Tamandua tetradactyla: one gene and its partner. Each later gene encodes a partner of the first gene's protein in a complex. Links are inferred from orthologs where the notes say so. Each region holds a gene or a part of one and is shown in the gene's direction. Other genes may lie near its edges.

What was found. The genes of interacting proteins can lie anywhere in the genome.
Region 2: the proteins of JAML (region 1) and CXADR are in contact, whole or in part, in a crystal structure (PDB 3MJ7), measured with the Mus musculus proteins. The link is inferred for Tamandua tetradactyla from reciprocal best matches to the Homo sapiens genes JAML and CXADR. Residues at the interface, in NP_001005421.3 of Mus musculus: Arg57, Asp59, Ala69, Tyr72, Phe75, Tyr77, Leu80, Val82, Glu120, Arg122, Ser127, Met128, Val129, Met130, Lys131; in NP_001020363.1 of Mus musculus: Thr23, Gly51, Pro52, Asp54, Glu56, Leu58, Ser60, Gln65, Ile66, Val67, Asp68, Gln69, Val70, Leu73, Tyr83, Lys121, Lys123, Lys124, Ala125, Pro126, Gly127, Val128, Asn130.

What each region holds. Positions count from the first base shown.
Region 1 is NC_135334.1:22,494,090-22,497,835, forward strand, and holds the start of JAML (junctional adhesion molecule-like), read left to right. Parts: upstream 1-920; 5' UTR 921-1,073; intron 1,074-3,746. UniProt on the Homo sapiens protein: Transmembrane protein of the plasma membrane of leukocytes that control their migration and activation through interaction with CXADR, a plasma membrane receptor found on adjacent epithelial and endothelial cells.
Region 2 is NC_135336.1:75,319,638-75,323,383, forward strand, and holds the start of CXADR (coxsackievirus and adenovirus receptor), read left to right. Parts: upstream 1-1,218; 5' UTR 1,219-1,345; coding exon 1,346-1,388; intron 1,389-3,746. UniProt on the Homo sapiens protein: Component of the epithelial apical junction complex that may function as a homophilic cell adhesion molecule and is essential for tight junction integrity.

The sequences.
Region 1 (3,746 bases):
ACTCCTTTGCACTTTCTGGCTTTGTTTTGCTGTGTATCTACATATAGATGAGGGTTGTCATTATGAAGGAGAGGGGGTTTGTGGTTTTCAGCATCAAGCAACCAGTCATCTCTGAGTCTAGCGAGAGAGCCTACATAAATTCAGTGGTGTGCTGGAGCCAGTTTTTAAAGCATTGGTAGCTTGTAATTGGCCTGGGAGGGCACATTTGCAGTACAAAAATCACTGTTTTACCAGCACACACTTTCTGAAGGACCATGCGGCGCGTTCCTTGAGAAGAGCAAGCATTCAAAAACTTTTCAAATTATATAGGACAGGTTCCATAAAATGAGTATGCACATGTCTAGGCCAACTAATCTGGTGAAAGTTGAAGGCATGTGCAGTGAGAATACTTGTCTAAAGTGGTGACTCAAGACCATGAGATACTTTGAAGTAAAGAAGACTTGAGTTCTTACATAGGATGTTTAAGTCATCCAAAGTGTTCTCTGGGGAAATAATTCTCTGTATTCTGGAAAGGCTGGCATGTCGCTATCAGAAGAAATCTACATTTTGGATTGGGTGGGCATACTTTGGAAGCAGGGATCAGGTGAATGCTTGATCATATTTCAAATCTGTATTGAGACAAAAAAAAAAAGGGTGACTACTGTGTCTGAAATACAAAGCAAAATGTTCTGTGTAAATCATAAATTACTATATTTTACTTGCATAAGGCTGACTTCTTTCTCAGCAAACATTTGCCTGATGCCATTCGAGATCCTATTCCCAGAGAGCTTATAATCTAGAAGGAGAGATGATGCTCAGAGGGATCTATAATTTGAAGCCCACCTTGGTAAGTTGAATGATCTCTTTTTAGAACGAAAGTATAAATAAGAATTGGGTAATGGGCCAGATGACTGAAATGAGAACTTTTGAGAACCTTGATTTAGAGGTTCCTGTTTGCATTTCTGCAGCTGCCTCAGGACGCACGCGTTTGGTTTGCTCGGAGTCTGCTTGCAGAAGTCTCTTCAGTTGGGCTGGGTGAACCGCAGTCTGAGAGATTTTGGCTGCATTGCTTCCCTCAGCGTTGTTCTTCTTGGGTAAGCAATTTCTTTGTATTTTTTAAGTACTTGTTTAATTTGAACCTTGCTCACTCAGAAGTAGGCCAGTTATTAAGAGTTTAATTGACAAACCTTTAATATTACGAAGCCACAATTGCAGTTTTTGCCATCTCACCAGGGCACAGTCAAATGGTTGTCTAGTGAAGGCAGTTTTTCTTTCTGTAGTGTAAAGTAACTTAGGTTACTCTGAGAAAAGAAGAGTAAGGTTTGCTTTTAACAACAAAGTAAGTGATGGTGATAAAGCTTTAGCTTTTATGTTGCCTGTGGGTTTCAGGTAGAGCTGTCACTAGGTGTTCTTGAACTCATGGCAGGACTCTTCCTTCACTGTTTCTCTCCTCCCAAACCTAGACAGAATTTAACCCCAGGAAGCCAGGGACTCAAACCTCCCAAGAGAGTTAGGCTATTGTCCACCCTTGTTGTACCTTCTGGAAGCCCTGGCCTTGGGCAAGACTGATGTGGATATAACTTAGGTATAACCTGGTCTGAAGGAGAACCAAGAGCATTGGTTTCCAAGGTTTCCTTCAGGTTGAGGGTTGACTTGTGACTTGGGCTGTGTTGTAAGATGCCATGTCAATGGCCACTCTTGGAAGGAAAGACAGGAATGCATTTTAAAAGCTTCGTGTTTCAAAGTGGTTGTGTGGACTTCTGTACCAAAAAGCACCTGAGAGCCTATAGATTCACAGCAATATGGAGTAGACCTTTTGAGTATGTAACGGTTAGGCATTTGTATGTTTGCTCAGTGGTTGGCTGTCCTTTCTAGAGGCAGCACTTTTGGCTGAGAAACCCCACCACTCCCTTATTTTTTGTCTGTACTAAGTTTGGGATAAATGATGATTTGGACAAGTTATATCCTGTGATCCTGGGGGAAACAAAGTTTTCATCCTTTTACTGTGAGCTTGTAACATTTGGAGGTTATTTTTATACCTTGTGGTAGTAGTCTCACTATCATGAATCTCTTTTCTGAGGATTTTTTCCCCTAGCATAATTATATCAAAGATAACAATCTCCTGCATTATTAATAATAGGAGAGGGGGTTCTCCACTGTAACCCTTCAATAGTGATAGATGATATTAATGAAGGAGACATGAGCCCAGCTCAAAACGTTTGGCCAACTTATACAATGATTTCCTGTGTGGAATTATCTCAAGAACATTTGCTGAGGAGATAAATCAGTATTTGGAGAAAGGCAGGAAGCAGAGTAGAAGCTGAGAATTTAAATAGAGTCTATTATTTTCAAGGTGCTTCTGGGGCTTCTAAATGCTTTGGTTGGGTTTATAAAAACTGAGATTCAAGATTCTTCTTTATATTATATTATATATCCTGCTGTACATTTATAATAGGAGTTTCTGAATATTTGTCATCTAAGTAGGAAATTTAAACGTGACTAGATTGTTCTTGGTAAATGTTCCTGTTAGGTGTTATTAGCTCATTTGGCAGGTGGTTACTGAGCTCTTACCCTGGCCTTCACACTGTGCTGGCCAGGAAATTAATTACCAGGTAAGCCTACCCACGCACTGTTCTTGGCCTTATGGAGCTTATAGTCTTGGGATGGAGTGGGGATGGAGAGTGAGAATTTAAGCAAATACAAAAAAATAGATAATTATAAATAATGACACATCCTATAAAGGAAAGATAAATAGTACTTGAAACATTTATCTAGGGATCAGACTTGGTCTGAATAATTCAGAAGTTTCCCTTAGGAAATGACCTTGAACTTGAGATCTGAAAGATGAACAGGGGTTAGGTAGGTGAAGGGGTGAGTGATGGGGATGGGAAAAACATTCGGTCAGAGGGAGAAGATTAAGTTTGTTTTGATAATAAAGTTCAGAGAAGCCCTTGCTTTAAAATATTTACTTTCACCAATGTGGAGAAGCAGTACAGCATAGTAAGGATACAGACCCTGAAGCCAGACTGCCTGGGTTTGTCCTGCCTTTGCCACTTGCTTTGTGATCTTAGATAAGTCACTTCACTAACCTATGACTCTATTCCTCATTTGTAACTCCTCATAGGATTGTTGTAAGGGTTAAATGAGTTAATGTGTAAAGTGCTCAGACAGTGCCTGGTGTATAATCATCTTGGGTTCATTGCCTGTTAACTACTGATTGCTGTGTGGTGCTTTTTTATCTAGGTAAAAAAATGGTCTGACCTTTTAATTAATGTGAAGGATGAGTGATTTCCCAAAGATCGAAGAGTTAGTTAAAAGCAGGTCTGATGGAGTGCACGGGTAGGTTAATGGTTAGAATGCTTGCCGTCCATGTGGGAGACCCGGGGTCGATTCCTGGACCATGCACCCCCCCCCCCCCAAAAAAAAGAAAGTCTGACCCCAGAAGATAATTTTTAAAAAAACATAATTTCTTTTTTCATTCACTTAGACATCTAATGGTACATAGGGCTGAAAATGGATGGCTTATATTCATAGATTGTTTACATGTTTTCTTCAGATTTGTTTGAAAATGGTTTGGGTGTGGCTCTGAGTGACTGGGGCTGGGTGACTATATTCAGTCTTTATGGAGTCACTGGTTTCTCCTTAGAATTGAGTGGCTCAGTTGTAGGATGTCTATAAACATTTATTCAGTATGTCCCAGGCACCTTGCCAGGTGCTATAGGTTGGGAATGTGATACAAATATAAACAAGATTGATATGGTCCTGTC
Region 2 (3,746 bases), on another chromosome or scaffold:
AAACCTTTTGACTAATTTCTAAAGATTTACACTAGTAAATGGTTGAAATGGCCCCTGAATTTACTTCCTCTTTCCTATCTCTTTTCTGGCTCAATAAATATAAGAATTTTCCAATATTATTTTTAATAGTAGCTACCACTTACTGAGTACTTACTATGTGTCAGGCAGTGTGCCAAGCATTTTGGGGGCATTATCTCATCTAATTTTCATAGCAACCGCCTGAGGTAAGTGTTACCTCTAAATAACTTGTCCAGTTCTTGGCCCTTTGCTGTGTCCAAGCTTTAACCATTGAACCACACTGCATCCCTCCTCTAATTCACTCCTGATAAGAACTATTCGGAACTCCAAAGTCTCCGTGGTTATAAATAAACGTTATCTGGAAAGAGCCACCCGAGAACAGTCAGGAAAATGACACAAGAGTAAGTGTGAAGAACGCCAGGGCAAAAGCGATACCGAAGGCTTTTTAAGGGGATCCCTAACTCCCCGCATCTGCTCCCCTTTATTCACCCCTACTTAGCCGCACTTTGAAAGCTTACTGGCCTTCGCTGGTCAATTTCAGGGCTGCAAGCCCTTGAAAAGCAGGGGGGGGGGGGAAACTCGGGTATTTCCCAAATCAGAAACTGCAGTTACGGAGTTCAATCATTACTAGCGATGGAGAAATGCCTCCTCGCGCCTCCTCTGCATTGGCCCTTCTCCACCTGGCGAGCGCACAGAAGCCGGTGCCGCGAACCCCTCCAGTCCGCTTCGCGCAGAGTCTCACGTGGGAGAACTGCGCCCCTACAGCAAAACGCCGGAGTTGGGCGGACGGCTCAGGGTACCCTGCGCCCTGGCACCGGGGGCAGTGGCTGGGAGGGTGGGTACGGGGTCCACAGCAGAAAACGCCCTTCAGGACCGGCGAGAGGCGGACAAATAAGGTCCCGGGCCCCGGGGGAGGGGGCGATCCCAGTTTCAGTCGCCTCGGGGGAAGGGCTAGCCCGCCCCTCGTCCAAAATACCTAGATATTTAACTGAAGGGAGGGGAAGAAGGGACGCCAGCGTCTCGCGCGGCGGGCGTACGGGTCCAGCTCTCGGGTCTCCCACGCTGCAGCCCGAGACTCGAGCCCGGTTGCCAGGGCAACCCCACGCGGCCGGTGAACCCGGCGCCCGCCGCAGGGAGGGGAGCGCGCTGCTGGCCGGGCCGCTTCCGGAAGTGACGCGACTTCACCTGCCGAGCGGGGGAGGGGCGGGGGCGCAGAGGTGGCGCTGCCTCCACCGCAGCGGGTCAGCAGCGCGTGAGGCTCCGGGAGAGCGAGACCGCGAGCGAGAGCCGCCCACCTGCAGCCGCCGCCCACGGCCGGGCCGCCACCATGGAGCTTCTCCTGTGCTTCGCGCTCGTCTGCGGAGTCGCGGGTGAGTGGTGGGGGGAGGGCAGGACGGTCCTCAGCGTCCCCGCCGCCGGCGCTGCCCCGGGGCGCTCGCTGCCCGCGGCCACCGAAGAACAATGAGGCGTGGGGGAGGGGGCGGGCGCAGTTTGGGGGCACTGCCGCTGGGATTGGCGGTGCGAGCGGAGTTGCACCGGGGTGATGTTTGCGGTGTCGGGTGTACGAGCTGCGAGGTTGCGGCGGCTCGGAATTGAGCCTTGGAAACGCGTAGGGTGTCTTGGGGGCGTTGGCGGAGCTGCGGTCGGAGCCCCCGGATGAGGGGTTGGGGATAGGGGTGGTAGTGGAGGGGCTCGTGGGTGAGTGGGCGCGGCCTGCCCCGTGCTCCTGTGTTCTCTCCTTAGACGGTTTGCAGTAGATGCGTGCTTTGCTTTATTTGCCCCGGTCCTTTCTTCTGTTATCCTCCGTTTTGTGTTGGTCCAAGGTTACCCAATTTTAAAAGCCTTGGGCGGCGAGTTTTCAGGTGCCAAGCAGTCCAAGCGGAGAGGCTGGATTACAAGCGCCATTATTAAGTGGACACTGAGCTTTTAGTGTTTCGGATCGTCCAAGTTACCTCTAGGAAAGAGGAGCAGAACGAACGCTTGCCTAGGCATTCTTGGTCTGGCAGAAGAGGGCCAGCCCAGGCGAGAGCTGCTAACTAGATGATAAACCCTGATAGGTGAAGTAGGAAGTAAACCACGGGCAATCAAAGGCTGGTTCCTGCAGAAATGCATATTGATTTCTGCAGTCCCGGGGCAAAGTGCAAAAAGAATTTAGTCATCACGGTTTTGAGTTCGTAATGAGTTGGTTTATTCTGAAGATAAGCAAGATCTTGCACGGGGTAACTCCCAAAGGATTCCTTAAGTACATTTTTTTCGATTGTGCCTTTCTCTGTGAGGGGAAAAAAAAACAAGTATTTAAAAATAAGTGGACCATTAGAAAGCGTAATCATTTTGACGAAAGACAAAGCAAAAACCGATTTATTTCCGTGTCAGTGTTTTAATGATCTGATCTTTGTCAAACTGAGAAGTGTATTTTATGACCAAATGATACATTAAAAATTCCATGGAGCCATGGAAAGCACACTTCGTCTAATCTCCGGAAGGCTGATTTTTTTTTAATGCTGGAAAGCAGGATCGGGTGGCCCTTTCTGTTGGGATGGCTCTCTGCTTCCTGTTGAAATGTTAATTCCATTGTTAGAAGACACAGCTGTGAGCATTACTCATGGGATCAAATAATCTATTACCAAGTCTAATCTTCTGATTCTGTAGAATTCCCTCCACCTTTTTGATACATATCGTTTAGACTTGGTTTAAGTTCCCAAAGTAAAGCTTCTGAAAAAGATGAAAGGTCACGTAACCAGTTTACATGGTGCCTTTGTCTCATCAAGTCCTAAACTGAAGTTGAAGTTGGCAATGCTTGTGTTCTCTTAGGAAAACTGTTTTAGACAACTCCTAAGGCAGAAAAATGGAAGAACAAAAGCAAATCAGTTAGAGGAATTATTTTTTCTGGGGATATCCAAGATAGTTGTCTGGATCTCATTTTTTTCTCACTTTGGTAGGCATAGTGTCAGCGAAGGTTCTTTATATATGCATAGAGTCATTCTGCTGATAAAATGCACTAGCATAGAGCAAGTATTTCATTAGAGGACAATATCGTGCCTTCAGCTAAACAAAACAATTCTTTTTATTCCAGTTTTCCAGTTTAGGAAAGAACTCAGAATCTGTGTAATTGATGTATAGCCTTTGAGAACATCAGATATGTCTATTAGAAATTTGTTGCTTAGAACTAGAGTGCATTGTTAAATTGAACACCTGCATTAGCAAAACAAGATTGAGGCTTGCGTTATTGGAAATTGCAATGCTCTCTCTGGTGTATCTTCCTCTAGTCTGTTTTATGTTGTAGAGAGTTTGGTATATTCTGACTGCTGATGGAATTCCTTTGAATACATTTTTATTGCTACCTAGTAGCAAGTTATACAACTGGTAATAGTAGTGATAATAGTAGTAGAACAATAGGGTAGCAGCAAGAGTAAAACTAAACCCTTAATTGTGCACTAGTTAAATGCCAGGCACTATTTTAAGAGCCTTACATATACTCAATCTACCTAGCAACTTTAAAAGGTATGTATTATAATTACCCCTGTTGAAACAGGTACAGGGAGGTTTCATAACTAAGATCACAGAGCTGGTAAATGGTGATTGAAGAAGTAAATGCAAACAAGTTATTGGCAGCACAATACTATGCTATTCTGCCTGAAGCAGCAGACATTTTCTTCTTTGATTATTTCTAATCAACATCTTAATTTCTACCAGCAATCATCTGTCATTTATTAAGAACCTGTTACGGG